Solanum lycopersicum: one gene and its partners. The protein of the gene in region 3 binds, or shares a complex with, the protein of the main gene of each other region. Links are inferred from orthologs where the notes say so. Each region holds a gene or a part of one and is shown on either strand. Other genes may lie near its edges.

Region 1 (7,896 bases), on a different chromosome or scaffold from region 3:
TAACCTTGAGCTTCTGCTCCAAGGCTGGTTTTGTCGGTCTTCCAGGCCCAAATTCACCTCCAGATGGCTTAGTTGGTTTGGCAACTGTTGTTTGTTTCTTGATTACAGCTTCCTGTTTCTTTTGTTGTTCACCCTTGTTCTCTTTGGGAGAAGCATTGAAGCAATCAGCAGACTGCTTCTTCTGGAGAGGAATGTTCTGGTTACCTAGTGATGGCTTTCGGCCATTTCCACGGTTCACATTGAATCCCCCACTGTTTCGAGGATCTGAAATAAATCCCCAATTGGAACAATATACCTTTATTAGAGGGGAATCCAAATAAAGAGCCGAATAGCGAAGGGATATTGAAAGAATATGGACACAAGTTCTACTCACTTCCATCATCATCCATGCCATCAAAGAACTTCATTGTTCACAAACAACAAAGAGAAAATAAGTCAGTGGCAGCCGACCAAACAAAATAATCAATTTTTCTAGAAGAGGGTAAGCTGATCATACTTGTGACAACTCAATTGAAGTGGTCTGAGCAGAAAAGAAAGCTAAGTCATCTAAAGGCGGGGAAGGAAGTCCTTCCTCGTCTTGATCAACTACAGATGCTTTCATAGACTCTGGAGTGCTTTCGTTACCTTTAAGCAAGAAATAACAAATCAGTTCAAAATTCAGCTCAGAATTGCGAATGACGACATATGAGAGATTCATTTTTTACTGAAGATTGAAACGGAAGCAAAAGAAACTCTTGAGCAATTAACCTGCAAAGGCTGCAGTAGCATTCACCCATTCGTCTACCAAGACCTTCCAATCCCTGTGATCCATTAAAATGTGATCAGCAATAAGCTGCGAAGAATTCTAACTTAAAGCAACTCCATAGAAATAGACGATGTACCCAACCAGTAGATCAGAAAGTTGCATAAAAAAAAAGGTATACAAAACAGCAAAACTAGAGCTCAAGTTACAGCGGCAAGGAGCAAGGTCAGTCATATACTTCTGATAAATAAAAAGGGACTACCAAAGTGAGTCACAAAAATTTTGCGAAGCACTCGATGAAGAAAGCAATGACCATCATTAGTATGCATCGATGATTGAGTTATGATGTAATCTTCATTTTACGGTAAAGATAACATCAATTAAAGAAAAATGGTAAGCGACAAACAGTGGCATGCGTTAAAAGTAATAATAGCTCAAAACTACAACCGACAAAGCAAGCTGCCAGAGCCGCCAATACAACATGTTAGTTAACTCGTAGACAAAAGTTCAAACCTTTGCGATAAAAACAAATTCAGCACTCGATAAATAAAGCAATGACCATCATTAGTATGCATCGATGATTGAGTTATGATGGAATCTTCATTAAAGATAACATCAATTAAAGAAAAACGGTAAGCGACAAACAGTGGCAAGCGTTAAGAAGTAATAATAGCTCAAAACTACAACCGACAAAGCAAGCTGCCAGAGCCGCCAAAAAGACATGTTAGTTCAACTCAAAGACAAAAGATCAAACCTTTGCGATAAAAACAAATTCAGCACTCGATAAATGAAGCAATCACCATCATTAGTATGCATTGATGATTGAGTTATGATGAAATCTTAATTTTACGGTAAAGATAAACGGTAAGCGACAAACAGTTGCAAGCGTTAAAAAGTAATAATAGCTTCAAAACTACAACCGACAAAGCAAGCTGCCAGAGCCACCAATACGACATGTTAGTTCAACTCGAAGACAAAAGTTCAAACCTTTGCGATAAAACAAATTCAGCCACATTAAAGATACCCCGGATCAGACTACTAGAACTGTGTTGTGCATACATATTTTGACGACATTCTTACAGTTATTTCAGCAATAAAGCAAGAGTTACTTACTCAATCAATGTCCGAGATAGATGCCGAACATCCTTTGAGTTGTGCTTTCTGAGAGAATTAACCGACTTTCCAATCTCTGTGGCCTGATATAGAAGCAATCAATTATGTCCATCCAGAATAAATTTAAAAAACAGTAACCACAATAAATGGAAGATGAAATTTTGGAAGCGTCAAAAGATCAAACCTTTAAAGTCTCCACAGACAAAGCCATTAGTTGAAGCCTTCTTAAGCACTCAAACAACTCTGCAGACTGTCAAAAAGAACAATAACTCAAAACCCGATTACTAGAGGAAAGCTCAAAACTACCAAGCAAGTGAAATAGCAAAAGATATAAAGAGTTTAAAAGTAGCTTCATACATTGTTTTAAAGCTAAAGAAAGCAACATCCTTGTACAACTAGATCAAAGGAACAAAAAGGGGGCAAAAAGGAAATGAAAAGCATAAAGGTTTCCTAACTGTGACATGAAAACAACCTCATATCAGATTTTCCAGTTATAGACACTAGTAGAGAAAATAGAATCACCATCAAATTCAACCACAAAAGTTCTAAAATCTTACAACATTAGCTCAATTATCAAGATTCTTCTTCCTGATCAACCCCACAAGAACAGAAATTTCAAATCATTAAATTCAACCATAAAAGTAACCATTGTTATATGTCATACAACACCAGAAACTCCAAAAATTTAACAACATTTAAGCTCAATTATCAAGATTTTCTTCTTGATCAACCCCAAAAGTACACAAACTTCAAATTCACATACACAGAGTCCACCAATTCTTGACTGAACAAATCCAAACACAGCAAAATACTTCAAATCAACAGTATAACCAAAATTCAATAGAGATGAAATGAACCTCAGCTTGGTTGTTATCAATGACATCTTTGATCCTCATCACCTCCCCAAAAGTCTGAGTCTCTTCCTCCATTTCCTCAGTTAATGCCTCAGCTTCTCCATAACTATAATTGCTAACTTGATTCACATTCATCTCAACATCATGATGATCTATCCTACTGTTAACTTTGCTCTCTTTACTACCACCAAACTCATCCTTACTCTTAATTTTTCCTTCATCATCATTACCAGCAATTGGTACAGCTAAATCAACTTTCTCACAACCAAAACACATAGTAACTTTACATGTAAACAACATTTCAGCAATTCTATCCCTTCTCATTTTAAATTCCTTTGGACAATCAACAGCAGCAACCATCACTGCATACTCAATTATATCAAATATATCCGAATTTGCAGTACGAAAATAGTCCCTCCATTTATCCAAAGTCCCACTACTCTTCGCCATAACTGATGATTCAGAGCAAAAACAAATCAACCCAGATCGTAAAATCAATTATTTATCAATACCCAAATATACAAATTCAATCTTTATCCGATTTTAATTATACCCACAAGAAAATCATACAAATTCTAATCGGAAACAAGGTTTTTAGCAATAAAAACCTCTGGTTTTCCGATTAGGTACTTTTTCCGATGATCGGAAACTGAATAATCAGTGTCACCGGCGATTCAGTTCTGCAAAATGCAATCGGATACAGATTTTTATGCTTTTTTTTTAGGAAAAATCCATATGATAGAAACTCTATAAACCCAAAATGACAAAACAAAATTAAAAAAATTAAATAAAAATCCGATTAAGTTTTTGGTGAGATATAAGAAGAGAAATCTAGAAAAAATTATTCCGATTGAAAGAAATTTTTCCAGAGAAAAAGAATATATGTTAAAAAAAAAGTATAGAAGATTTTCTCTCTCTAGCTATCTTTTATTATTTTAATTATATTTCTCTCTCTGTAAAAAAAAAAGCAATACAAGGTGCTGGTTCAAAGAGACACGAGAGAGAGGAAGAAAAAATATTGTTTTTTCTCTGTTGGGGGTGGGGGGTAGGGGTTAGGGGTAGGTGATAAGGATCAATTTTCTTCGGTCATTAGCATGGATCGTGGTGAGATGGTTCTGATTCCTTCATTTTTAACTCGAGAGATTGTCAGTATATAAAATATATATTTTAAGTATGAATAAGTGTGAAATTTGAACTAATCGAATTCTGATATGTATATAGAATGGAAATTGGATTTTGAAAACTTCTTTTATGGATGAAATTCATAAGGATAACTTTGATGATGACAACGATAACGATGAGAATAACATATTTGATATAGGTTCATAAGTAAAGTTTAAAGAAATGATATGGATATAGATTTTATTCATATCTCTTTGACATAGAAAAACTATTTTTAACTGTGTTCAGTTCAAAGAAGGATGATAAGAAATAAATAAATATAGTGACATAATATAGAAAAACAATAAAAGAAAAATCTGAAAGGAAATGATTTTTATTTTCAAGTTAAGGAAGTGATTTATCTCTTTGCTTTGAAGTAGTTTTCTTTTTTTATATATGTTTTTTTTTATGGAATTACAAAATAATATATCCTCTTCATTTATTTTTATTTATCTATTTTTAATATATTTCGTAATAATAATAATAATTTTGTTGTGAATATATTAATTGATGAATGATGTATAGTCTTGGATATTGAAAAATGAGCAAGGAGTAAGCAATTAATATCGATGGTAAAATAAGAAAAAAATGTTATTTTTTATATATTAAAAGTAAGAAAATAAAAAATAAAAAAATATTTAAAGTATGTTTTAATTGATTTATTTTTATATAAAAAGAAATATAAGTTGTTAAAATAATAAGATGCTTAATTAATACGGATAAATATATATTCACATTGTTTATTTTAATTTTTAAGAAAAAGTCTTATTACGTTTGATTCGTATAAAATGTCATATTTACATTAAATTTTTTTATCATAATACTGTCTGTTTATAAAAAATATCATAATATTATATTAAATTCAAATTTCAATGACAAACTATTGTTATTTGATACTATTATTCATTTGGAGTTTTATTTTTTTACTTCAAATAAAAAAGGTAAATTTTTTATTTATATAAAGTTTAACTTAAATTTTCTCCAATTTATCTTTGCCTTTTTAAAAATAGCAAGTGGACTAAAAAATTAATTCTCCTGTTTTAGTCTTATACCACCCTTTGTTATATTAGATTTTTTCATGTTGTTTCCTTTTTTGTAGTTTATAAATCATAATATGTTATATATAAATTTATATTTCTTTTTATATTTTAATGAACAAGTTATTGTTATGTGAAATTATTATAATTATTTATTTAGGACTTGTTCGTTCTTTGATTAACTTAAAATTAGAAAAAGAGTTTCAATAAAGATGTTATTATCCTTAAAATCCTAATAAACATACAAATTACTTATTTTTGCATTGTATTTTGTAAATAAAAGTACCATATAATTTTTTTTATTTGTTGAAGTTTGTAATTTCTATTGCTAGTGTTGTATAGTAGATTTTCTTTCTATTTCGAAAGAATTTAATTTATAATACTAAATAAATATACGAAGGAATTAAACTTCATTAAAAAAACAGAATTTTTTTGTTTGATCCAAAACAAAACAAAATTTTAATTTTTTATTTATTTTTCCAATGCATTTATCAATAACGAGGTAACGTTTATATGATCTCGGTCCTCATTGTTATGTTGGATTTTCTTATCTTACGTGTTTCATTTTAAAAAATTGCACTATCATAATATTTTTTTTACAAAATTATATTTTGGTGACAAAATAATTGTTACTTGATACCTATAATTCAATTAGAATTTCATTAATCTTCTATAACTTAAACTATTGAATAAACTTGACTCTTTGGACTTTTTAATTGTGCAACTAATAATATGACATTTTATTTCTCTATTATGTTTTCTCGACTAATGTTACTAAAATTTAAATGAAAAAATCTCAAAAATATCCTCATAATTAGTGAAATTGAACAAATTCGTCCTCTGTTAATATCTTAATTTATATGTGCCTTTAATGTCAAATATTTGATTTAAATATGTATTTATTTTAAATTGTTCCCTAAGTTAACCTAATTAGTATTAGTTAGTCAAATATCGTCTAATTTCAACACGTATTTTAAAGACATTTTTAGCACATTAAAGTTTGTAACCTTCGTTTACGAGCTTTTTTTTTAAAAAAAAATATTATTTTTTTATTTACTTTAAATAGAAAGGGTAATTTTTTTTTAATTTATCTAGAGTGTTCAGTCTTACATTTTTCTCCAATTTGTCTTTTGTCTGTTTTATTTCCTTTTTCTTTTTTTAATATATTAATCATAATATATAAATTATATTTTAATGAGCAAGTTATTATTATGTGATATTATTATTTAGTTAGGACTTCTTCATTCTTTGGTTAACTTTGAATTAGAAAAAGAAATTCATAAAAATATTATTATCCTTAAATTCAATGATAAAAAGTGTCATATAATTTTCTCTATTCATTGAATTTGTTGAAGTTTATTAATTTCTGTTGCTAGTATTGTATAATAGATTTTTGTTTCAATTTTCAGAGAAATTAAATTAATCAAATAATATAAAAAAATTATGAAAGATTTAAATTATTTTTAGAACATAATATTCGGTTCGACTCAATAAAACAAAACAAAAACTCTGTTTTCATTTATATTTCCAATGCATTTTTCATATGACTATGTTGCTTGTTTTATTCACATCCCATTTCCTATTTTTATGTTGAATTTTTTTACCTTACATGATTATTTTTTTATTAAAAAAATGTACTATCATAACGTTATTTTAATTATTTATTTATTAATGGGTTTATATTGTTGGTTCATGACAATGTAATGATGATTTTTTTTTGGCGAAATACTTTTTTTTCTTTTTGTTAATATTAAATATGATTAAACTAAATAAAAATATTAAAAAATCTGAATCATTCGTCGTAAGAGAAATTCAAACTTTTAAACCTCTTAAATTCCCTTTTAACGTTTAGATTTAAACTATATATTTCTCACAATTATGAGCAAAACATTTAAAAATCATATTCGTATGCATACCAAACACACCCTATTTTTGTTTTAGGATGGATTGATCATCAATGAATGAGGTGCAATGAATAAAATGTTTTTTTTAATCAGATATTTTGAGTTCAATTGTCGAGTATAAATTTCTTTTTTGATAGATAATGCTATCTCTTTCCCACTTTAATAAAGTTTTACCCAACGTAAATATAAAAAGAAGTGCTAAATATTCAGAAAATTAAAAAAATATATTTTTTTATGTTAAATAAACTAATCATTTTTCCATTTTTAGGTAAAAAGCATTAAAATTGAAAAAGTAAAAATAATTAAAAAATAAAATATTATTCTGGCCAAATTCTTTTTTCTAATCCAAAATATATGGGTATTAAACATCATTTGGAAAAACCAAGAAAAGATGAACATATGATCACTATTTAAGAAAAATTTGGACAATAATTGCAAAAGATCTTATAATGTTATAGTTTTAATTGCACCTTTCCTACATTAATATTGGATAAGTAACCTTTGTGGTTATTTTATTTAAAATGTAAATAAATTTATAAAGCTTTTATCAAAAAAAATTAAACAGATAAATTGATAAAATTATTCTTCTTATTTATAATTTTTTAGAAAAGTGTAAAAAAATTGGATAACTAATATAAAATTGAGGCATGTCTTTAAATTAAGATAATAAAATTCATTTTTTTTATTTTTCTAAATCAGATAAATAAATTAAAATATACTATTTTTATTTTTTTAATGATCCTTTTAACTTTGTTACGTGTGAATTGAACATATGCCCAAAACAATGGCAAATAGTTGTTGCCAATAAATAATTCATCATGAAGTCAACTTATATTAATTAGGACATGTTAGTGATAAAGAAATTATAAATTCCAATACTATAGTCTACGCGTTTCGAATAATAATGTTAACTTTATGGTCACTATTGGTCACTTTTTTTTTTATATTTTCTCTTTTAATATAATTTTTTTTATACAAACTATGTAAAAGAGTAACAAAACGAGGTAACAAATAACTTCAAATTAAATTTAAGAAACGAGCGAGATAATAGCTACAGGGGGGAGCAAGAGATGGATAGATTCAAG
Region 2 (7,939 bases), on a different chromosome or scaffold from region 3:
AAAAGCAACTCAGTACAAAAGACAATATATCTATCCATTTGAGATGAAAGCAACTGCCAGAGGAACAAGGAGAAAAAGAGTGAGAGAGAGAGAGAGAGGGGAGAGAGAAAGAGAGAGAAATAACATCAAAAGCATGTTCTTGATTGTGAAACCAAGGATTTATACATGTTTGATAGTGATTTCAAGGATATATGCATACTAATAAATGTGTGATAGATCATGAAAGGAGATTTCCTTTCCATGTTCTCTGAGTCAAGAACAGTCTACACTCTACAGATCATAGCAAAGCAGAGTCACAGCATAGGAGTTGGAAATTTTCAAAAGAGAACTACTTTTTTTATAACCGTGGTGTTCAGGCTAGTTTTCACGCATCTCAACTAATTCCACGGGATACCTTTCACTTCCCACCAGCAGCAAGTACCACGTAACTCTGTCCACCAAGACTAAGATATATGGGAAGAATCACCTAGTTTTTTTGTCTCCACTGAGATCTCATGGCTCTCAACCACTTCATTGACCACTAGGTCATAACCTTGGATGCTTTCAAAAAAGAACTTCTATGCCAAAATACTCATTCCATAATGAACATCCAGGAGATGAGAGTTCTCTTTTGAAACTGATAGGTTGCTAAACAATTTTAGACAGGTTGGAATCTTTATCAAGAAGAAAAATCAGACATGTCTGGAAGATTATCTTGACAAAAAGTATGTTTTAAACATTTATACAGTGAATGTGCACAGGAATGTTATACAAGGAATCTTCAAAGCTTCTAGTAGAGAGACTCAAGAGGGTGATACATAGCCTGGTGGATAGGCATCAGATGGCTTTTATCAAGGGCAGACAAATTATGGATGCCATTTTGATAGCTAATGAATGCATAGAGACCAGACAAAGGAGTAATAAGCCAGGAATTGCATGCACGCTGGACATACAAAAAGCCTATGACTTCTTAAACTGGGACTTTCTTATACAAATGTTGGGAAGTATGGGTTTTGGGGCCCGATAAGATGGATAAAACATTGTATCGGCACTGTCAGGTTCTCTATACTTGTAATAGAGTACCCACTGGCTTTTTCCCGAGACAAAGGGTCCTCTTTCCCCATTTTTATTCATCTAAGCTATGGAAGGAATGAGTAACCTCATTAATACAGCAAAGGGAAAAGGATGGATCAAGGGGTTCCAAGCAGGAGAACTTTCTAGTTTAGAGATAACTCATCTATAATATGCAGATGACACATTGGTATTTTGTAGAGCTGAGACAAAACAAATACTGATTTTGAGGGTCATTTTTGTCATTTTTGAAGCTGTATCTAGTCTCCACATTAACTGGGGGAAAAACTTCATCTATCCTATCAATGGTGTGCTTAATACAGAAGTTTTGACCAGAACACTAGGAGGCAAGGTTGGGGAGCTTCCAACTACTTACCTAGGTATGCCTTTGGGAGCTAAAAGCAAGTCCAGAGACATATGGAATGGGGTACATGAGAAATGTGAAAAGAGACTCATTAACTGGAAGAGTTAGTACTTGTCCTTGGGAGGAAGATCGACTTTAATTAACAGTGATTTTACAGTGTGATGGATGCATTACCCTCTTATATGATGACAGTCTTCCTTATGCCTGCCAATGTATCTAATAGCATTGATGCTCTTAGAAGAAATTTCTTATGGCAAGGCAATGAAGATAAGAAGAAGTTTCATCTTTCTTTTTTTTTTTTGAGAATGATACTTTTTTTCCTGTTAAATGGAAAGACCTGATGGTGAGTAAAAACACAGGAGGCCTAGGCATAAGAAATCTAAGGAATCAAAACCAGAGACTAATGATGAAGTGGTTGTGGAAGTTTGCAAATGAAGATAACATGCTCTGGAAAGAGGTCACCAAAATATGGCATGGAAAATATGTGGATGACAAATGATAAGTACTTCATATAAATGCACTGTATGGAGGAAAATCAGAAATCTATGGCCAGTGCTATATCACAGAACCAAGGTAGAAGTGGGAGATGGGTCAAAGACACCCTTCTGGGAGGATAAGTGGAATGGATCTGTCCCTATGAAACAGTTGCATCCTGAATTGTTTACTTTATGCCAACATCAATAGGCCACTGTGGCTACAATGTGGACTGGACAAAGATGGGATTTGTTCTTAAGGAGGAACCTTCAGGATTGGGAGATTGACTAAGTGGCAGAATTTCAAGATTCAGTAAGGTCTTTCAGCAACCTCACTGATAAGAAGGACTTATTAGTTTGGCAAAATGATACCAAAGGTCAATTCTCAGTAAATTCAGTGTATAAGAAACTCAACAAGAATGCTGGACAGGAGATGGAATGGCCATGGAAGATCATCTGGAAACCAAAAGTACCCTACAGAGTAAACTACTTCATGTGGCTATTAACAAAAGAAGCAGTTTTGACTCATGAAAATCTAAAGACAAGAGGCTATCAGTTGGCTTCTAGATGTACTTTATGTGGAGAACATGCTGGGACAATTAACCATCTTTTTTTGCATTGTACATGGCCATAACAATTATGGAGAATGAATGTGCATCTGTCTAAAGGGAATCAGATGGGTGAAACCAGGGAGCATTAAAGGAGTCCTGAGCAGCTGGAATAGAGATGGCAATGCTTCTGACAAGGAGAAGAGATGGAAACTTGTCCCGGCATGTATTTGGTGGACAATCTGGAAAGAGAGAAACAGCAGGAGTTTTGAAAATTGGCAGAATAGCTTACAGAAGATCAAGATGGACTGCTCAGCTCTTTTCTATTTTTGATGTAAACAAGATATATTAACTAGGACGGAAGATATCTTTGATGTGCTAGATTGTTTATAAGCAGCAGTTTTCGACTAAGACTGTTTTATTCTGTAAGTTGTAAAACTTTTGAAGGGGAACTACACTTTTGTTTTAGTATACCTGTGGATATATAGACTAGAGTTACCAGTTTCAGAAAAAAAATCTTCACCACTTTCTACAATGTAGCAAGATAAATAGAGAAACTTCTGTCTTATTCTCTAAAGTTCCCTTCACTGGATGGATTAAAACTAACTCCTCTATTAAGATTTAGGAACAAATGAGGAAGTACTTCAGTCTCTAACATAGTAAACCCCTCTGGTCTCTTGTTAAAGGTACTTAACCTATCGTCTTATGTAACTTATTAGAAAAAAGAAGATGATTACCCCATTGAGGGCATAAGACGCAATGGCAAAGCAAATTTGAAATTTCTCAGATTAGCATGCAACTACACTTACCAGGATGATTCTCTCTCTATCTAGAAAGTGAAATAACTCTAGGAACAAAAATACTGAAACTAAAAAAAACATTGAACTTTCCCTCTGTCGTTCTGTAAGACCATAATGAGACTGCAGTTTCTGTTTTTCTTCTCATATCTTCCATATTCCACTGAAACTTCATTAAAAATAACATATTTTTGACTAATTCATTTTGCATAGGTGAACTACTGCATGTATGAACAAATTATAGGGCCCAAATCCTTATAATATATCTAGAAAGTTAAACTTTAGTGATGATTATATTGGGAGCAGAATGTTCTAATAATAGTATTGGTCGGCAAATGATCGGACTAACAAGTCAACACTTCGATCAGCAACTAGCTATCACTTGAGGCAGTGAGCTCAACGTACAGCAACTTTAGAACTCAATTCAGTGACTTCCACCGCCTCAACAGTTAAACTGCGAAGTTCCAACAAGTTCTCCACTTCCAGCATAACTAAGTAAACCTCTAACAGACTAATCTCACTTTTTCTGCTTTTTTTAAATTCGATCGTATCCTTACTTTAGTTATAAGGAAAAAAAATATTGATATCATCTTCTAAGTCATGTAGCCAGAATTGAGATGTAGCATAAACAAAATTTTAAAAAATCACCTGAAATTGCGGCAAAGTTCAGGAACACTCATTTTATGAAGCAAATTTGACCTAGGTTGTTTGAGCCTAATACAAAAGACGACAGCAGGATTGACAGTATCCTCATCCATGGGATCATCGTCAACAGAAGAGACCTCCTTCTCCGTCACCATAGCCACAATTGCAGCAGGATGATCGTCGTCGTCGTCTTCAATAATGATATCCGGTTTCTCGTGAACCTTATTAGTAGAAGGTTCTAGAGAATTGGTAATCACAGAAGAAGACTCTTCCTCCTTCTCCACTTCAGTATCTTTAGCAACAGGTGGTTGTTGATTGTTCATTTGAATAAACCAAAAAGGCCCAAAAACCCTAATATATAATATAATTATATATGTATACGTATATAGTGAGAGAAAGGCAGAGAGAGGGGTTAGAGAGAGAAGTGGTTGGCCGAAAAAAAGTCTTTGCCAGTTGAAGGCGACAGGAATCACTATGGTGACTGTGTGGGGTTAGGGTTTGAGTGGGGGAGGAGGAATGTGAACGGAGATTCCAGCTAGTGGGGATTTATTCGGCTTTTCATTTTACTATTAAAACTACTACACTGTTATAAGTGTGGAAGCCAAAATCACTGATAACGTTTTTCAATTGGGGCTGAGTGGGGGAGCTTGTGATAAGACGGGGTAACCATTAAATTAACAAACAATACTACTATGATAAAAAGGTTGTTTTATCTTTACTTCAATAAATTATGTTAAATTGAGTAAAAATATTCTCTATTCATTAATTTAGGCAAAAAAAAATATTAGATTAATTACGGAAATCTCACATTTTAATTTACTTATTATTATTATTACTTATCAATTTTATAAATTTTTTATTTTCGCTCATTAAATTAATGTATTCTGCACATTACATTATATCATGTATAAAATGTACTTCGGGCATTATACTAGAGTATCTCGCGCATCAGATTAGTTTATCTCGCACATCAAACTAATGTATCTTACGCATTAGATTAATATATCAGTGGTTATATTATTGTATCCGTTTTGAGAGATTTTTGTAATTATAAACTTTTAAGAAATAGATTATAATTTTGCCTTAATTTTCTGTAATTTGCCCAAAGATATTCATATAGTCAAAACTTTAGTCAAAAAATTACCATATGGCTACTTTTGACTCAAAAATGTTATTTTCTTATTAAACATTCTTTTTTTAAACTTTTCCTTAAAAAAATTGTGTAAACAATATAGAGTAAAATTTTAGGTTTAGCAAACATAAAAATTATATTTGTATGTTATAGTTATAATTATATATGGAACATCAGATTTGTATATATCGTTGACAGGAGTGTCAGATTTTTGTATAAATCGTTGGTAGGCCCTCGTTTTTATAAAGGGCAACTTTCACCTATAGCAAACATAAAATTCATATTTGTTTGCTATAGCAAAATTCGCATTATTGCGTTTTATATCAAACATATATATGTATGATTCGTTATATATACAATTGAAGCAAATTGTATACAACGAGAAAGAGATAAATTATATACAATTTGAATTGTATAAAACGAGAAAGCGAGAACGACAAAATTCAATTGTATACAACGAGAAAGAGATAAATCATATACAATTTGAATTGTATAAAACGAGAAAGTGAGAAAGGCGAAAAAGAGACTTGTGCAGAGAAAATATAATTTAATCGAGTTGTATAAAACGAGAAAGAGAAAAATTATATATAATTTGAATTTGTATACAATGAGAAAGGCAAGGGATACTTGGACAGAAAAATACTTGTATTGTATAATTATAAGTGTATTGGACGAAGATGTATGTATTTGCATGCATTTATACAATCTTCTCTCACTTTATACAAGTAGAAACACAATTTATACAATTCTATTGTATAAAGCGAGTGAGGCGAGCGACAGGAATATGCGAGCGAGAGAGGAGAGAGGTGAGAGAGAATATGAGAGAGATAGAGACTGACAAACAGTTTGTTATGGAACACAAATAAATTAAAGGATAGCTACTATATTTATTTTATATTATTAGTTTGTCATTTTATACAATTATCTCTTTTATAAAAGCATAGCGATTGTATATGTATTTCGGTTAGATAATTATATATATTTAATTATTATATTTATATATCAATAATTGTGTTTGTATATCTGCATAAAATTTGAATTTGTATACAATTAAATCAAAATAAGACAATTGTATATCAAATCTTTCTCTTGCTTTATATAACACAAATTATACATCGTAATTTGTATAATTTAATTTTTATAAAGTGAAAAATAAAGAAAGACAAAGAGAGAGTCAATAGAAGAAGATCGGTAATAACTTTAAGTGAATAGGAGGAAAGGTGCTATTTTGTCAATTCAATTGTTGGTCTTCTTACATATCAAGCCCAACTTGGTCCATGGGAAAATCAAACTGGAAGGCCCAATTGTATATTTGACCCACTAATTTTGTGAACCAGGTTGAGATATCTTGAAGTAACAAAATTGGCATTGTCAAATATCCAAACAATATGGAAGTCAAAATTATTATGCCTTTTGTTGGTCATTCTTTTTCACCAAGAGAAAGCTGTAAAGATTTTTTAGGAAAAAAAAAATTTATCAGAAAATTCGGTCAAAATTTAATTAATGAGATTTATTTTTTATGTAATTTTATTTTTTAAATATTTTTATTATTTTGTTTAGTTTTAATACCTTTTACTAAAAAAAGAAAAAAAATCAGTTTATTTTAAATAAAAAAATATTATAATTTTTAAAATTTTCTGGCCATTTAGTACTCTCGATTTTTTATTGTCATAATTTCATGATTACACGGGTGTTTTGAAGTAATAATAAAATTATTTTTGTTTGATATTTATAAATTGCGAGTTTAAGCCAAGAAATTATTCACTATGTGGCCTTTTACCGCCGCAAGGCTGGCTAATCGAAACAACTAATCAAATGACATTCCCTTAGAAGTTAGAACGCACTTTAGAGACAATGAAGCTAGGATTTTGAGTTAATGATTTTTATATTTTTGTAAAAAGAAAATTATTGAGTTCTTGATAATTTATTTAATGCATATATTAAGTGATTTTTTTTAAAACACGAATATAAGTTTGCATCGAAGACTAAAGATACTGAATTATAATGAATTCGTAGGCAGAAAACTAGCTCTACCACTAATATCATCCTTCCTGATTATCATGTGTGAACATAAAAATTATTTATAAAATATGAAATCGAGAAGATAATGGACTTAAATGTCATATATAAAACTTATTTTTTTTGCTTCTAATAGAAATACTATTTTCTTAATTTTCACTAAACTTGTTTTCCTATCAATTATATTTTTTTTTATCAATTAATCATGGAAAAAATGATAAATAATACAATTTCTTTTTTTTTTCTTCTTTCTCTTGAGCTTTTTCAATCAACATTTAAATTTATCAAGCATGGACAATTATGTGTCTAATTAAATCGAAAATAACAGGACAATCATATGTCTTGTCTGATATAATAAATATGTACAGATTGTCAAATTATACTACTACAAATTGATATTATCTTGATGAAGTCCAAATTATATTTAATTTCGAAAGTTGCTATGGGAACTGATAAAGACAGAATTGGGTAAAAGTCAAATGTGATTTATTTTATTTTATTTAAAAAAAGGAATTACTATTCTCAACTGGAACAAATATTTATGTCTATCTATCAACTGTTTAAATTTGAGACTTGTTAATTAAATTCAAAAATAAATTTAAAAGTCCAAAATGATTGAACTTGAACCCAAATCATCGTTGTCATTTGCCAATGACGCTTTCAAAACTAGGTGGAGAATCATTAATCATCATTAACTAGATTATGCTTAGATCGCTAATGACAAAAATAACTATTTTTATTTTTATTTATTTTTTTTTTTTAAAAAAAAGGTCAAACAAGAAACATGGGATCCATTTGAGAAAAAAAAAATATTTTTTTAATTAATTAATCCAACTTCTGCTTAACTTTTGTTTGGTAAATATTGGGTTTAATCTAGTCAATTATAACTTCTTCCTTGTTTGACAAATATC
Region 3 (7,149 bases):
CAGTTATGAGACAGCAGCAGGCTCCCATGCTTCATCAACAGCAATCGTCAATGCTACAGCCACCAATTTTACCAGCTCAACAGCACCAACAACAACAACAACAGCAGCAGCAGCTGATTGCACAACAGACAAATGTTGCAAATCTCCAGCAGAACCAATTGATGAGTCAACAGAATGCAATGCCTGATGTGCAGCAGAGGCTAGTGGGCCAACAGAACAACTATATGCATCAGCAAAACAACTTTCAAAATATGCATCAGCAGCAGTTGGGCTCTCAAAGTAGTATTGCTGGGGTCCAGCAACAACAGCTGTCTGGAAGTCAACAACCTGGTAACTCTGGCTTGACATCTAATCAGCACCCTATTCATTTGATGCAACAACCAAAAGTTCCTGTACAACAACAAATGCTGCAGAGTACTACAACCTTGTTACCAAATCAAGGTCAACAATCGCAGTCGCAGCCAGCACAACAGCAAATGATGTCTCAAAGTCAATCACAACCAGGACAGTTACAGCCACCTTTGGGTTTGCAGCAACAGGCGAATCAATTGCAAAGGGAGATGCAACAGAGGCTTCAACCATCAGCCCCCTTGCTTCAACAGCAAAATGTAATGGAACAGCAGAAGCAGCTATATCAATCACAAAGAGTCGCACCTGAAGCCTCTTCAAGTATGTATTTTTCTTAATCAAAGCTTTCAATTAGGTCTCATAAATCACTCTGTAGCAGTTTGTCATTCTTAGATATTTCCACCTTTCATGCCTTATATGTGTGAAGGTATAGGACTTCTACACTATGTTAACCACTGGTTTACATTTTCTTTATGTAAAAATGACTAGTACTTTCAGGCAAGTTTTGGGATATGAAAGGTGGTGGATATTTTAGATAATATTCATACTTATCTGAAATATCCAACACCTTTCATATCCCAAAATTTGCCTGAAATTTTAATGCTGTAAGGAGTCAAGTCCTTCAATATTTTTGTGCTATCCTTAACTTTTGGTTTATTTGTAGCATCTTTAGATTCTACAGCTCAGACGGGAAATGCAAATGCAGCTGATTGGCAGGAGGAGGTTTACCAAAAGGTATTTTTTTCGATGGTATTTCTATCTGCACGGCATGTTGAGAACTGAGGAAATTACTGGAAATTGTTGTTTTGGAAATTGACAAGTGAACTGTATTTTGATAAATTGACTGGTTGCAACAATATAAGAAGTAGCTGAATGCTGTGAAATATTTTTTGTGATTGATGGATTAATAGAGGAGGTTTATCAAAATAAGTATTCAGCAAATTCATGGTCATATCCATTCCCGCAAAGCACTTTTACGGTGTTCCAATTCGTAGAAGCACTATAGAATTAAGGTTATTGCAGCTTACTTGTAAGAAATTGATTTATTCTCAATTGAGAAGTGAGGTACAACAACTATTACGCCTCAATGTTAATCAAATTAGCGTCTGTTATATGAATTATTGTTGTCTTATGTTGCTTCATTTGAGCCCCTCTCAATCCAAAATTATAGCACTTGAATTTCCTTACACTTTCTACTGGCATAATTGGGAAGTGAAGTAAATAAATTGGTTGGTTACATTTATTTTTTGATGAAGTGATTAGAAATAGTTGAATGTTGTTATGTATTGTCTGAATTCACGAGGTGTGATATGTCCGTAAGTTTGGGTCAGGGTCCTCATAATATGTACCTAATTTGTTTTATTCCATGGAAACTAAAGAATTAATTGCTACATTAAAGGGTAAATCTATTCATGCAGGAAGTATATACTTGAATATATGGCTTAAGAAAATATTGTTCTTTGTGAAAAGGCACATCATCTGTATTAGTTGGTAACGGTTTTTGTTTCTGTTTTTTGGGATATCACGAGAAATTCATTGTTGCCTGTTTTGGAATGTGGATGATAATGGGTCTGTCCCTCTAGCTTTTTGTACTTAAATACCTGACTTGGTTTACTAGCTAGAAGTGTAAGTTGGAATATTTTGTGTTCGCCAAGAATAAAGATATAACATCAACATGCCTTTTTACTTGTGAAGTAAACTACATTGTTGTTATTCATTGTTTACCCTCATTTTGCTTTACTGGTAATAAAGGTGTAAAGTGAAAAAAAATGATGTTTTCACACTAAACAATATTATATCTCCCAGACAATTATAGAAAAGTATATTCTAATTCCTCCTGGTTGGGCTGGTCTATTATCACATCTTGGAACTAGACCCTTGCTGTTAGCACCGAGCAGAAACGTGTACCAAGAAGCTGAAGGAAGCAAAGTTCAGTTGTTTATTTTTTCATTCACATGTTGAATCATGCAAAATGGATTCTTTAATGAGTTTTAGTCTTCCGCTTCCACTTCACTTTTAACTTTTTATCTGGAAGGTTCTTTCATGAGGATTCTCTAGTTTGTTCTCTACTGTATCGGAAAGTTGATCTAATTATTACCTCTCCATATGGGAATGCAGTCTTGACATTTGCGCAATTCTGAGCTGATGCAAATTTTTAATGCAGATAAAGTCTATGAAGGAGTCGTACTTAGCAGAGCTCAATGATCTATACCACAAAATTGCTTCTAAAGTGCAACAGGTATGTCATCAACATTTTAATCCATTCTTATCATTTTTGGAGCAATTCTACTAGCTATGTATGGTGCAGCATGTTTGCCTGTGTTGAAGCGTTGTGTATGATTGTAAAGTAGAGGTGGAGGACACCATAAAATGAGCTATTTACACATATCTAGGTGAATACTGTGATGTAGATGCCACTTTTATGTTCCCTTGGGGAAGGGTTCAAGGCCTCCCTAATTCTTCGGGCAAGGGCTTGATTTGTCTAAATTTTAAGAGCGCTTAAGTCAGCATTCTGTTGAATTGGGCACCTGGCCACTATGTTATTTGTCTCTTTATGTTGGTTTTAAGTTTTTCTCCCTTTTTCTTTGCTGTGGGAGGGAGGTGTACTTGAAGCATGAATTTTAAAAGTTTGCAAAGGGCAAGAAACAAGACTTTGACTAAACTGATTTTTTTTTCCTGATTTTAAGCATGATTCTCTTCCTCAGCGTCCTCAAAATGAGCAAATTGAAAAGCTCAAGATGTTCAAGATCACGCTGGAACGCATTGTGCTTTTCTTGCGGCTTAACAAGCAGGATATTCAACTTTCTCACAAGGAAAAGTTGGCTTCGGTTGAGAAGCACATAAGTTTCTTTCTTAGTTCCAATAGGCCGCGCAGCAAGCCTTCTTCTTCTCCACTGCAGGGACAGCTTCCTCAGTCTTCCATGCAGCTTCAGCAACCACCATCTCTTGATGGTCAATCTAATCCGTCGATGCAACCCTCACAGGGTTCCATGGCAGCAATGCCTCAGAATAATCTCACCAACTTGCAACATAATACCTTGTCTGGTGTACCGACAATTTCCAACTCCCAGCAGCACATGATAAATACAGTACAGCCTGGTTCCACTGTGGATTTGGGACAGGGTAATTCATTGAACTCACTGCAGCAGGTGGCTACTGGCTCTTTACAACAGAATCCTGTTAACAGTCCTCAACAAGTTAACATGAGCTCATTAAGCTCACAAAGTGGAACAAACCCCGTACAGGCAAACCTCGGTTCCCTACAGCAAAATTCAAACGCCCTGCAACAGTCACTTCCTAAGCAGCACGAGCAGCAAATGTTGCAGAACCAGCAATTAAGACAGCAATACCACCATAGGCATATGCAGCAGCAACTTTTTCAAAGACAGCAGATAATACAACAGCAGCAAGCGAAGCAACAGCAGACCACGCTGTTGCCAACCCACCAGATGTCTCAGCTTCAACAGATGACTGATGCTAATGACCTAAAGATAAGGCAGCAAATGGGGATAAAACCAGGAGTTTTACAGCAACAGTCAGTTGGCCAGCGTGTTGGATCTCATCATCCCCAATTGAAGCCAGGAATATCTTCACCTCAACTCCATCAAGCACTGTCTCCTCAGGTTACCCAACATCCTTCTCCACAAATTGACCAACAAAATATGTTGGCGTCTCTTACAAAAGCTGGGACTCCTCTCCAATCCGCAAGCTCACCGTTTGTTGTCCCTTCTCCTTCAACTCCCTTGGCTCCATCTCCAATGCCGGGAGATTCTGAAAAAGTTGGTGCTGGCCTTGGATCACATACCACTGCTGGAAATATAATGCATCAGCAAGCTACTGTTGCTTCTGCACCTGCCCAATCCCTTGCAATTGGTACTCCTGGGATATCAGCCTCACCTTTGCTTGCTGAGTTTACTCCTCTAGATGGTACACATGCCAATGTCTCAGCTGCTGTTCCTGGCAGGTCAAGTGTTGAACAACCATTGGATCGCTTGATGAGAGCGGTTTGTATTATACCATTCTACTTAATTTGTATCTTCACTAATCCCAATAATCTGTCTTCATTGATTTGACTTGTTTATTACATTCAGGTTAAAAACATGTCTGACAAAGCATTGCAGTCGTCAGTTCAAGACATCTATTCAGTTGTCAGTATGAATGATAGAATAGCAGGATCTGCTCCAGGAAATGGGTCAAGAGCAGCTGTTGGCGAAGATTTGGTTGCCATGACCAAATGTCGTCTCCAAGCGAGAAACTACTTTACGCAGGATGGACCTACAGGAACAAAGAAAATGAAGCGATATACAACTTCCAACGTTGTGTCGTCAAGCAGCAGTTTGAATGATAGTTTCTGGCAGGTGAATTATTCTGAAACACCTGAGTTAGAGTCAACAGCAACATCCAATGCCAAAAGACCTAAAATAGAGGTAATTTTCTGCTGCCTACTTACAGGATAAAAGTACAAAACTGCACGTCCAAACATGAGAGCTCCGTGGTAGACTATATTGGTTCTTAAAAGAAAAAGGAGGTCCATTCAGGTGCATTTTAGAGTTAAAAAAGTAAAAACTGATCTTTGTCCATGACTGCTAGAGAGAGAGTAGAATGACCAAATGCAATATGGTGGAATATTTCTTGAAGTTTCAGCTTGCATGCAAACTGAAACTCGACTCAGAGTGGTTTTTAACAATCATTCCTTGTGCCTGCTCTTTCATTTTTATTGATTATGTTTCTGCAACTGGAACATCATCAACCCCAAACTACCACTTATAGTTCTGTTCTGAAAACTTTGATGGCTATGATAGAATATTGTATGGAAAAATCAAACATTACTTTATGTGAACGAGACATGAGTTTTACTTCTTTAGTACTCTTTCAGCTTGTGAGTATGTCTAAATAATCTGAACTAAGTATAAGACGACTGTCTAGAATAAAGACAAATGCATTTTATTGAATGCTATATGCAACCTGAGACTTTCAATTGGCTGCTCAGTCTTTGTACCAGACTGTCATTCAGTGTCTACTTATTCAACATATGATAATGCCCAATCCCTACCACAAACTTCCCGGCTCTTAAGTGTCCCTCAGCCTTACTGTGCCTGAGCAGCACTCAGTACAAATCTATACGGAAACAATAAAAATACGCCTTCTTTCTATATGGTTTCAATATTATCCCTTTTGTAGCAACTAGCGTGTGAATATATTCTAGTGGTGAACTAAAACCCTATCTATGAACTATTTTGACTTGAATTCCCAACTGCTCCTCAATTTATTGCTAGGCTCTTTAGCATTTAGATTGACCCAAAACACTTGGTCCTTGCATTTTCATATTGGGTTTTTTTTTATGCCTGGATTCACCCTACCTTTTTTGTGTTACTATAAACAATGTGAATCACTTGAATCCCACCTAATCATATGATAGAGTTTCGCATTTCCAGACGAGTAAATTTGTTCAACAGGAAAAGCAGAAATGCTAAGTGAAAACATTCCAAGCTTTGGCAGGATACAGGGCAATAGGCATTATAATTTTATAAGACTCGAGAATATAAAGCAGCTTTGCTTCTAGGCAGCATGTGAACCAACATTCTGGAATGGTGTTTTTATTCCGTAAAGCTTTGCATTTATGGGAAAATGAGTTATTTTTGTTATTTTGTTTGTCACATGGTTGCATTTCATCCTCTCTTTTTTAAATGATCAGACATCCAATGTTTGTTGATGTAAGATAAGAGTGTTTGATCACAAAAATGTTATCTTGTCCAGATGCTGATTTCCTTGATCTTGCATTCAAATTGATGTTTTGATCTTTGACAAGGAAATTGCTTTACTTGTCAACTTTTGGTTCCTCCAGCTTTACCTTGTGGATAACAGTAATTAGTACTTTATTGTAGGTTAATATAGCACTGGTTGAAGAGATACAGAAAATCAATCGGCAACTTATCGACACTGTTGTAGAAATTAGTGACGAAGGTGTTGATCCAAGTGCTCTTGCTGCTGCAACGGAGGGTGGTGAAGGCACTACTGTTAAGTGTTCTTTCACTGCCGTTGCATTGAGTCCAAACTTAAAAGCACTGTATGCTTCAGCGCAGATGGTAAGATATTGATCTTCATATACTGAACTTGTGTCATCAACTACTTATCAAAAAAAAGAAAATCTGTCATTAACTCTTTTACATTTTTTGTTTCATTGGTTGAATGATGGTATTTTACTTCTGTGCAGTCTCCAATTCAGCCTTTGAGATTGCTCGTTCCAGTTAATTATCCAAACTGCTGTCCGATTTTGTTGGACAAGTTTCCAGTTGAAGTTAGGTGAGTAAATTTGGCAATCTTCTTGATAAGAGCAATTATAGTCCTCGTTATAAATTAAAAAAAGTAAGAGCAGCTATAACATATGAATCAAAATAGCATTAATAGATCTGATTTTTTGCCGTATTCATTATACCTTGTTGATTTGTGAAAAAAGGTCTTACAATTTGAATTCTCTAATAGTCAATCATAAAAGATTTTGTACAAGTGCCTTTTGATCTGCGTTAAGATTATCAACTAGGTTTCGAAAATCTCCTTATACAATCTTATAGTCTCCACTTTTAACTACTATGTGATGCATTTGAAAGCTGTGTTTCAACTATTTTCTTCTGCAGTAAAGAGTATGAAGATCTATCCACAAAGGCCAAGTCAAGGTTTAGTGTCTCCCTGCGAAGTCTTTCACAGCCAATGTCTCTAAAAGACATAGTCAAGACTTGGGATGTTTGTGCTCGTGCTGTAATTTGTGAATATGCACAACAAAGTGGAGGAGGAACCTTCAGC
Region 4 (7,868 bases), on a different chromosome or scaffold from region 3:
TAGTCTAATAACACAACATTTACAACTACACGCATATAGCAGGTCTGATTGCCCTAGGAAACAACAGGAACCTTGGAACAGTGGTAAAGTTGTTTCTATGTAACCTATATGTCATGGGTTTGAGTCATGAAATTAACAATGATGCCCGCATCAAGTTAGGCCGCCTACACTTAACCCCTTGGGTGCAGCCCTTCCTTGAACCCTACATGAACACGGGGTGCTTCATGCACTGGACTGCCTTCTTTTTTTTCTTTTGGATTTCTCCGGAAACTCATTCATCAAAGAGACGTCTTGTCAGGTATCAAAGTTATCACCATAAATGCAAATGGTTATTGAACATAACGTACCATCACCGACAAAAAGGATAGCTAAGTGACAACAAAAGATACTAACGAAGACAATAAACTTAAACTACAGTTAGTGAGAAAAAATATAAGCATATCATTCACATTCTTATAATGGTTATACAAAAATACAACAAGAAAAAAAGTTCAACCGTTTTATTAGAGAAGCCATCCTTACCAAGTTTTTCCTCAGAAAGTGGTTCTGATTCGGGTTCCGGTTCTGGTTTCCCGCATGGAATTTCTGCATAACCCACAGATAAGCTCATGAAAAGACCAATTTTTATCACTATAAAATACACAAACCACAAGTATAACCCATAAGAATAGTTAGATTCACATAATATGTTCATAAAGAACATACCTTTATGCTTCTTGAAACAGACCAAAGAACAACTGCAAGATCAAAACAACCAAAAAAAGAACTTTTAGGTTTATCAATACTCAAATCTCCAGTAACATAACCCATAAATTACAACCCAATAAATACTAATACTGTTACACCCTCAATACTAAACAAATTGAGTTCACTGAATTCACAGGGAATCCAATACTTAAGTTTTATGAGTTCAACCTTTAGCTATCGTTTGATAGCTAGTACAGAGGCAACTTAATTATACAGCGCTTCGTATTTAGTTAAAGAAGTAAATTATTCATGTAAAGAAAGTCTGCAATTTAGAAATCCGCAGGCATAAGATAGATAACTAACAACTCCATAATCCTAACCAGCTACCAAACGACACTTCAAAGTTCTTTGCAACGAATTCATGTATAAAAGTCTGCAATTTAGAAATTCACCTTAGTTATGAGAAATTTATGCATTATTTTATGCCAGGCATAAGATAGATAACAAACAGCTAATAATTCTAACCAGCTACCTAACACACCTAAGGTTCTTTGCGACAAATTTATGTATAAAAATATGCACTTTAGAAATCCGCATATAACTAATACAAATATAAGTTATGAGAAAAATTTGTGTATTTATTCTATGCCTGACATAAGATAGATAACTGACAGTTGCATAATTCTAACCGGCTCCCAAACGACACCTAAGGTTCTTTGCAATGATTTCAATGTATAAAAGTCCGCAATTTAGAAAGCTACATGACTAATACATATATAAGCTACGAAGAAATTTATATATTATTTTATGCCGGACATAAAAAATAACTGCATAATTCTAACTAGTTACCAAACGAAACCTAAGTTTCTTATCAACAAATTCATATCTCTATTTGCTACAATTATGATGTTTTTCTACATATAAAAATTTTTACTCTGAATTTTGTATGAATAATCTATATCCATTCCCCTTCAGTTTAAACTAAAAACAAACTCAAAACCCAGAATTAAAATTCAAATAAATTTCAAAGAATGAAAAAAGATGGAAATATAATTACAAGGGGATGAAGCAATTGGGACACTTGTATCTCGACTGTGCTTCATCACATACTTGACATTTTTTCGATCCCATTATTTCTTCTTCTTCTTCGTTATCGAGGTTTTAGGGTTTTTTCTGGAAGAGGTGGAATGTAAAATTGCAATATTGGTCCCTGAATTTTGAGTTTAGATTCAATCGGGTTCTTACAATTTTATCAAATTATACTTTGAGTCGCTTAATTAATTATGGGCCTAAACTCGAATTCGGGTCCAAAATTTTCAAACCATTTTCTCTTCTGCTAAGTACCACTTTTCTCTAATAATTCTACGAGATACTCGTCACTTTCTATAATAATCATTTTTCGTAAAAGGAATCAAATCATTTTATTCATTTATATAGAAAGAATTTTGCAATAATTAATTTTCGTAAAAAGTATCAAATTATTTTATCCATTCATATAGAAAGAATTTCGTGTTATCAATTTTCGTAAAAGGTATCAAAATCATTTTATCAAAGAATTTCGTAATAATCAATTTTTCGTATAAGGTATCAAATTATTTTATCCATTCCTATAGAAAGAATCCATTAATATTTTTTAATTAATTATATAAGATACTAATCAAATTTTCGTAACAGACATTTATCCACTCGTATGAAAAGAATCCGCTAATATTTTCAATTGATTCTACGAGATACTTGTCACTTTTCGCAATAGGTATTATTCCAACCCTATGTCTTGAGTTTCGACTTTTTTGATATTTTCGACCACTTCATTGAGCACTAAATCACCATATTATCTCTGTTACTGCTAATTGTTTTGGTTTCTCTCAGCCATAGCTTGCATTACTAAACCTTAATTTTACAATTGATCGTAGAAACATATTTTTCTTGCTAGAAAAAATCTCTCTTTGGCTCGTTTTTACTGTTGATTTTTTGTTATGTGATTAATTGGACCTTGTTTGATGTAGAAACCTAGATTTTTTTGTTACAATTGGACCTTGTTTGATGTAGAAAACTGGATTTTTTGTTACAATTGGACCTTGTTTGATATAGAAACCTAGATTTCTAGCTAGAATTTTTTTTTCTTTGGCTCGTTGTTATCGTTGATTTTTTGTTATGTGATTAATTTAGGTCTGCCTGTTTAAGCTTTCGAACTATTTTTTTTAATTGAATTTTTGCAGCTCAGATTGGGGGAAAAAGTGAGATTGCTTCAACTGTTCAAGGTAATTCTTTCAATTTTTTGCTCTGATGTTTTATGTTTAGTTCTACAATGCTAAATGATTGTGTTTTATATGTCATACAATAGTGTGTATAGATGATAAAATTTGGAGTTTGATGTAGAAACTTTGAAAAAACAGATGTATAACAATAAAGATATGTTAAACAAAGATCAAATTGTACAGGCACTAGAAAAATCATATTTTGATGCCAAAATAGTCGAAAAAAACCAAAGGCAACATATACCATATAGTCCAAGGTATTGTCTTTTCTTCACCCATTCTTCTCCTTTTCCATTTTCTCTTTCTTTCCTCCATTTTTGTAGTCATTCGTTGTTTTTGCTGAGCACATGCTCCATCATATAACAATGACAACAACATACCTTGTGAAATCCCACAAGTGGACTATGGGGAGGATAGAATGTATATATGTTGTTGTACGTATGTAGAAAATATTTGCCAAACAGGAGTTAAGCTATGTGTCCAAGTGACTAATTTTCCACATGAAAAGAATCACCCATGGTGGAGTGACTTCATTGATAAAACTTGATACCATTCCAGCACTACTACCTATTTCTTTGAAGAAACTTAGTAAAACTTAAGGTTGTTTGGTCATAGCCTAATGAAAGGAGCAAGTTTGACAGTTTTTGGTGCATATTGGATCATTAGAAGTTTCATGCTTAAAATCTTGGTGAGAATTTGGGTGTACCAAAAGACAAGTAATGACCAAATGCTTAAATTTCTAATTATGGATGGAAAAGGCAATAATTGAAGACCACCCCAAAATAGGGGCAATCCGGGCAAAAACTTTAAGCCTCAATCCAAAACTAAATTCATATTAAGATCCATTAATCTTCAAGCAATGCACTTCTCATACAAAGAGTGTCAACTTTGTTATGATTTTGGTTAGGTGTTAGCTTTTTCGTTGTTACTCTTCTGTTAAACTTAATATCTTTTTGGTTCATAGGTATGTTCTAAAGAGTTCTTTGCATGTAGGTTTGAATAAATTGAAGTGCGAATGGAGTGTGTGGTTCAGGGAATTATTGAGACTCAAGTAAGTTCCTGGAGTAATGATAAAACCTCCCCCTATTTCTCGTTTTTTTCTTATTCAATCTTTTAGAAGGTATGCTACTTGTAAAAGGTATACTACGGCATTTACTGAAACAGTTTTTGGCAATTGATTATTGAAAAGATCTTGACAGTGCTAATCATACTTGCAGCATGTCGAGGCCCTGGAAATTCTGCTTCAAGGGCTTTGTGGTGTACATAAACAAAGCTTAAGGATTCATGAACTGTGCCTTAAAAGTGTCCCTAACCTAGGTAAGTGTATTTTCTCTTTGAACTATTATGGAACTAGGAACTAACCCAATGGTCATGTATGTACTGATGTGGCTGAGGCAAATGCTCACAACCATCTATGCATTCGTAGGGAGGTTTTCTCACCTTTGAGTTTGTACATAGCTGATAATTTTTTTATGGTCCATCTTATTCTAGTTGTACTGTGGTGCTGCATGTCAATTATTGAATGGAATTAGGTTCAAGTATGATTCACTTTCAGTACATCTAATTTATAGGTCGAGACCACATGGTTTTTGCTCATTCACTTGTTGACTGTTGAGTGCCTTGTTTTCAACAAAGTGTTGCCTATCATGGTTTTGTCGATGATACAGATGTGATTCTCTGCGATGATGTACATGTGATTCTTTGACATGTTGATGAGGGTAACGTCGGAGTATTAAAACAATGCTTGTTTCCTGTTAAAGATAGTATGGCAGATGTTGATCCCACAAGGATTGAGTTTCTGCTATCCTAATTAGTGTTGCTCAATTACTATTCGAGTAATCAGATAAGCAGGCGGAATGTTTTTGACTAAAATGAAATATAAATAAGAGTTCTATGACATGAATGATGGTGAAAGAGTATCCATCAGTTCATTAAACGAGTTGAATATAGACTTTTTTGTTCTAATCAGAAGGAGTTGAATCTAGACTTCACTTATGATTAGTGTATGGTGTTCACTGTCCACCAATCAATATTGATCTCTAAGTTATAAGTGCCTCTCTCTATTACACTCAACATTGATTATTCCTCTCGCTTGTAGTAATATCTAAGGAAATAGAAAACCTTAAATTCAGAGCACCTTCAGCTAATCACCTTCCAAATCACTGGTGTATATCTCGATTACATCTAACTACTATAACCTTCTTGGCTAAGTGTATTTCTTTTTATTATAATAGTCAAGGTATTATTATACCTTAAATATGGAAGACGGTTGATTAATTAACCTTGGCTCCCACAAATATATGTTGACCCCTTGTGGTTGTCTACGCATTTGTCATATCATCATCACAATTCATAAAGTATGTTGAAGACTGATTTCTCCTCTTGGTTAGACAAGGAAAAAAAGCAAACTATGATCATTCAAACGTAATTGGGAAAATAATGGAGTCCAGTGACCTCTCTAGATCAGAAGTTTGAATTGCAGAACAAATGGTTTGAATCAAATTAATAATTGTAGTTAGAGAATTAATTTATAAGAGTTAAATTATGATATCCATCTAAATCTAACTAGCAGAAAGTTACTTTATAATAGCGGTCAATCCAAATAATGAAGTATTAAAATCACAAAAATTATAATGAGAGTAAAATATGAGAAGAAAAACTCCTCAAACCGTCAATCTCTTCCTTTGAGCTCTAATTCTAGTGTTGGATCTCTCTTCCCACCTCTATGCTGTCACGGGTCGTGCAAAAACTCAAGTATCCTAGCTTAGGACGAGTATTTAGGACTTGAGAGGTTAGGGTTCAAACCACTTGGAATTCCGAAATTGTGCACTTACAGTTCTCATTCACTAGGTAGTGTGCAATTAGCAGCAGGGCGTGCAAGGCACACTCACTCCCTTGTGTTTGCAAAATGTTGGTTCTCAGGTTGCACAATTGTGTACTTCAAGTTGTTTCGGAGCTATTTCAACACCGTGAGGTGCCTGAGCACCTAATCTTTGAGTTGTTTACAGCCCAAATCCTCTCGAACTGCTTTCTAGCATGTCATGCGACATCACCTAAACAAAATGAGCAAAAGTGTGGACTCAAATTGATATCTGATTTTCACCTAATTGAGAGATATAAAATGGACCAAATATTGCGTGCATGATCAACTGTTTATACTCCAATCACATATCATATCTTGTCTAAAAATCATTTATGCCTTCTCACGATTTTTTCTTTTCTCCTTTCCTGCTCTTTGTCTTTGGGTTATTTTAACCGTGTGGTCTGTTGCTTACCATTCTCAGGCTTAGTAGCATCAGAAATACGGCTCTTATGTGATCTTGAGCAGCCAGAACCTGCATGGTAAGAGATCTGGTTTGTCCTGAGCCCCTATCTATTGGGACACTTGAAGCCTAAGTTTTTTTTTTATGTGATTAAACATAGGACTGTTAGGCATGTTGGTGGTCCAATGAGAGGTGCTGGTGCTGAACAAATCTCAGTGTTGGTGAGACCAATGCAAGAAAGCAAAATAAGCAAGAATGCATTACGCTTATTTTATTCACTTGGCTACAAGCTAGACCATGAGCAGCTGAGAGTTGGTTTTGCATTTCATTTCCAAAGAGGTGCCCAGATAACTGTAACAGTTTCATCCATCAACAAGATGTTGAAACCTCATGCTATCGATGATGCAGTGCCTGTGACTCCAGGCATACAGCTAGTTGAAGTGACTGCACCAGCTTCATCTGAAAATTACAATGAAGTTGTTGCATCTGTAACGTCCTTCTGTGAATATCTTGCACCGTAAGCATCTTTATCTTGGTTTGTTATCCATAAGAATTGGCTAGTCGTACCTGGTATTGTATATGATGGTCTAGTAAAACATACAAATGGTTTCTTTTGTTTTCAGGCTCCTTCATTTGTCAAAACCCGGTGTCTCAACAGGGGTTGTTCCTACTGCAGCTGCAGCTGCTGCATCTCTGATGTCTGATGGTGGAGGCACAAAGTGAATGGAAAAATTACTCAGTACCATTTCTGTCTTAAATCTCTGTTGCAGTTATCATAGCTGAAGAATGAGACGTATTTCGCCATTCTCCTTCCCAATAACTTCAATGTTTGTCCTTCTGTAATTGACGTTAAATACCTGATCATCGATATGCAACGTTGCTCATTCATAGAATAGAGTTATAATACCCTTTGTACTGAATTGCGAAAAACAAAGCACAGCAGTGCTCTCTTTGATCTATAATTGTTTGACTCTTTTCTTGTTTATGTGTTATGCTCAAAGCACATGAGATGTTTAAGTGATTATATTTGGTTCTTTGGGCGGTAAGATTTCAGTTTCAAGTACTGTCTTATGTCAATGTTGAAGATTCGGAATGAGGTTATTCCGAATACTGTACGTCTTATGTGAATGTTGAAGATTAGGAATGAGGATATTCGGAATAAGAAGAGAGTAATTTTTGTGGTAGACATACCTCATGTCTCTCCGATCTTTGAGGGTAATGTCACGAGTTTTGGCTAACGGTGGTAGATGTGATCCGTCGAATTCGAATGATCCATTTATTATTGACTCGTTCAATTCATCTCGATCTTAAATTGATATATCGTCCAAATTGACTCGTAAGGAAGTTTGTAAAAATATTATTTTTGAGTGATACTATCATTTATAGCCACGAGAAAGAGAAAAAAAAAGTTGATTTTAGGTACTTAAAAAATTATAGAACAAATAAACAAATTTAACAAGAATTGACCGAGTTGAGTTATGACTCATTTTTTTAGTTCATTTTAGTAAATTTTTTAGAAGATATGTAAATCATTTTAATTGAATCGATTAAAATTTTAGTTGAGATAAAATGAAGAATAAAAATAATACTGAACTACGTAAATCATTTTAGTTGAATCGATCAATATTAAAATATAAGAAAAGAATATGGAAAAATTGTG

Evidence for each region.
Region 1: mediator of RNA polymerase II transcription subunit 15a (region 3) and probable mediator of RNA polymerase II transcription subunit 26b share a complex: the UniProt entries of both Arabidopsis thaliana proteins name them as parts of the mediator complex. The link is inferred for Solanum lycopersicum from reciprocal best matches to the Arabidopsis thaliana genes NRB4 and AT5G05140.
Region 2: mediator of RNA polymerase II transcription subunit 15a (region 3) and mediator of RNA polymerase II transcription subunit 16 share a complex: the UniProt entries of both Arabidopsis thaliana proteins name them as parts of the mediator complex. The link is inferred for Solanum lycopersicum from reciprocal best matches to the Arabidopsis thaliana genes NRB4 and SFR6.
Region 4: mediator of RNA polymerase II transcription subunit 15a (region 3) and MED18 share a complex: the UniProt entries of both Arabidopsis thaliana proteins name them as parts of the mediator complex. The link is inferred for Solanum lycopersicum from reciprocal best matches to the Arabidopsis thaliana genes NRB4 and AT2G22370.

The regions. Positions count from the first base shown.
Region 1 is NC_090809.1:61,264,789-61,272,684, forward strand, and holds the start of probable mediator of RNA polymerase II transcription subunit 26b, read right to left. Parts: upstream 4,127-7,896; 5' UTR 3,160-4,126; coding exon 2,713-3,159; intron 2,106-2,712; coding exon 2,040-2,105; intron 1,939-2,039; coding exon 1,856-1,938; intron 801-1,855; coding exon 748-800; intron 625-747; coding exon 497-624; intron 402-496; coding exon 374-401; intron 265-373; coding exon 1-264. UniProt on the Arabidopsis thaliana protein: Component of the Mediator complex, a coactivator involved in the regulated transcription of nearly all RNA polymerase II-dependent genes.
Region 2 is NC_090801.1:59,380,273-59,388,211, forward strand, and holds the start of mediator of RNA polymerase II transcription subunit 16, read right to left. Parts: upstream 4,532-7,939; 5' UTR 4,201-4,531; coding exon 3,881-4,200; intron 1-3,880. UniProt on the Arabidopsis thaliana protein: Component of the Mediator complex, a coactivator involved in the regulated transcription of nearly all RNA polymerase II-dependent genes.
Region 3 is NC_090803.1:3,496,533-3,503,681, forward strand, and holds part of mediator of RNA polymerase II transcription subunit 15a, read left to right. Parts: coding exon 1-669; intron 670-1,012; coding exon 1,013-1,083; intron 1,084-2,512; coding exon 2,513-2,587; intron 2,588-3,035; coding exon 3,036-4,352; intron 4,353-4,439; coding exon 4,440-4,775; intron 4,776-6,233; coding exon 6,234-6,434; intron 6,435-6,562; coding exon 6,563-6,651; intron 6,652-6,983; coding exon 6,984-7,149. UniProt on the Arabidopsis thaliana protein: Component of the Mediator complex, a coactivator involved in the regulated transcription of nearly all RNA polymerase II-dependent genes.
Region 4 is NC_090805.1:1,885,542-1,893,409, reverse strand, and holds MED18 (mediator of RNA polymerase II transcription subunit 18), read left to right. Parts: upstream 1-2,554; 5' UTR 2,555-2,948; intron 2,949-3,128; exon of another isoform or gene 3,129-3,202; intron 3,203-3,938; 5' UTR 3,939-3,960; coding exon 3,961-3,996; intron 3,997-4,162; coding exon 4,163-4,262; intron 4,263-6,229; coding exon 6,230-6,287; intron 6,288-6,368; coding exon 6,369-6,725; intron 6,726-6,831; coding exon 6,832-6,931; 3' UTR 6,932-7,193; downstream 7,194-7,868. Other genes in the region: ZNHIT (zinc finger HIT-type containing protein), read right to left, coding at 523-585, 706-737, 1,745-1,818. UniProt on the Arabidopsis thaliana protein: Component of the Mediator complex, a coactivator involved in the regulated transcription of nearly all RNA polymerase II-dependent genes.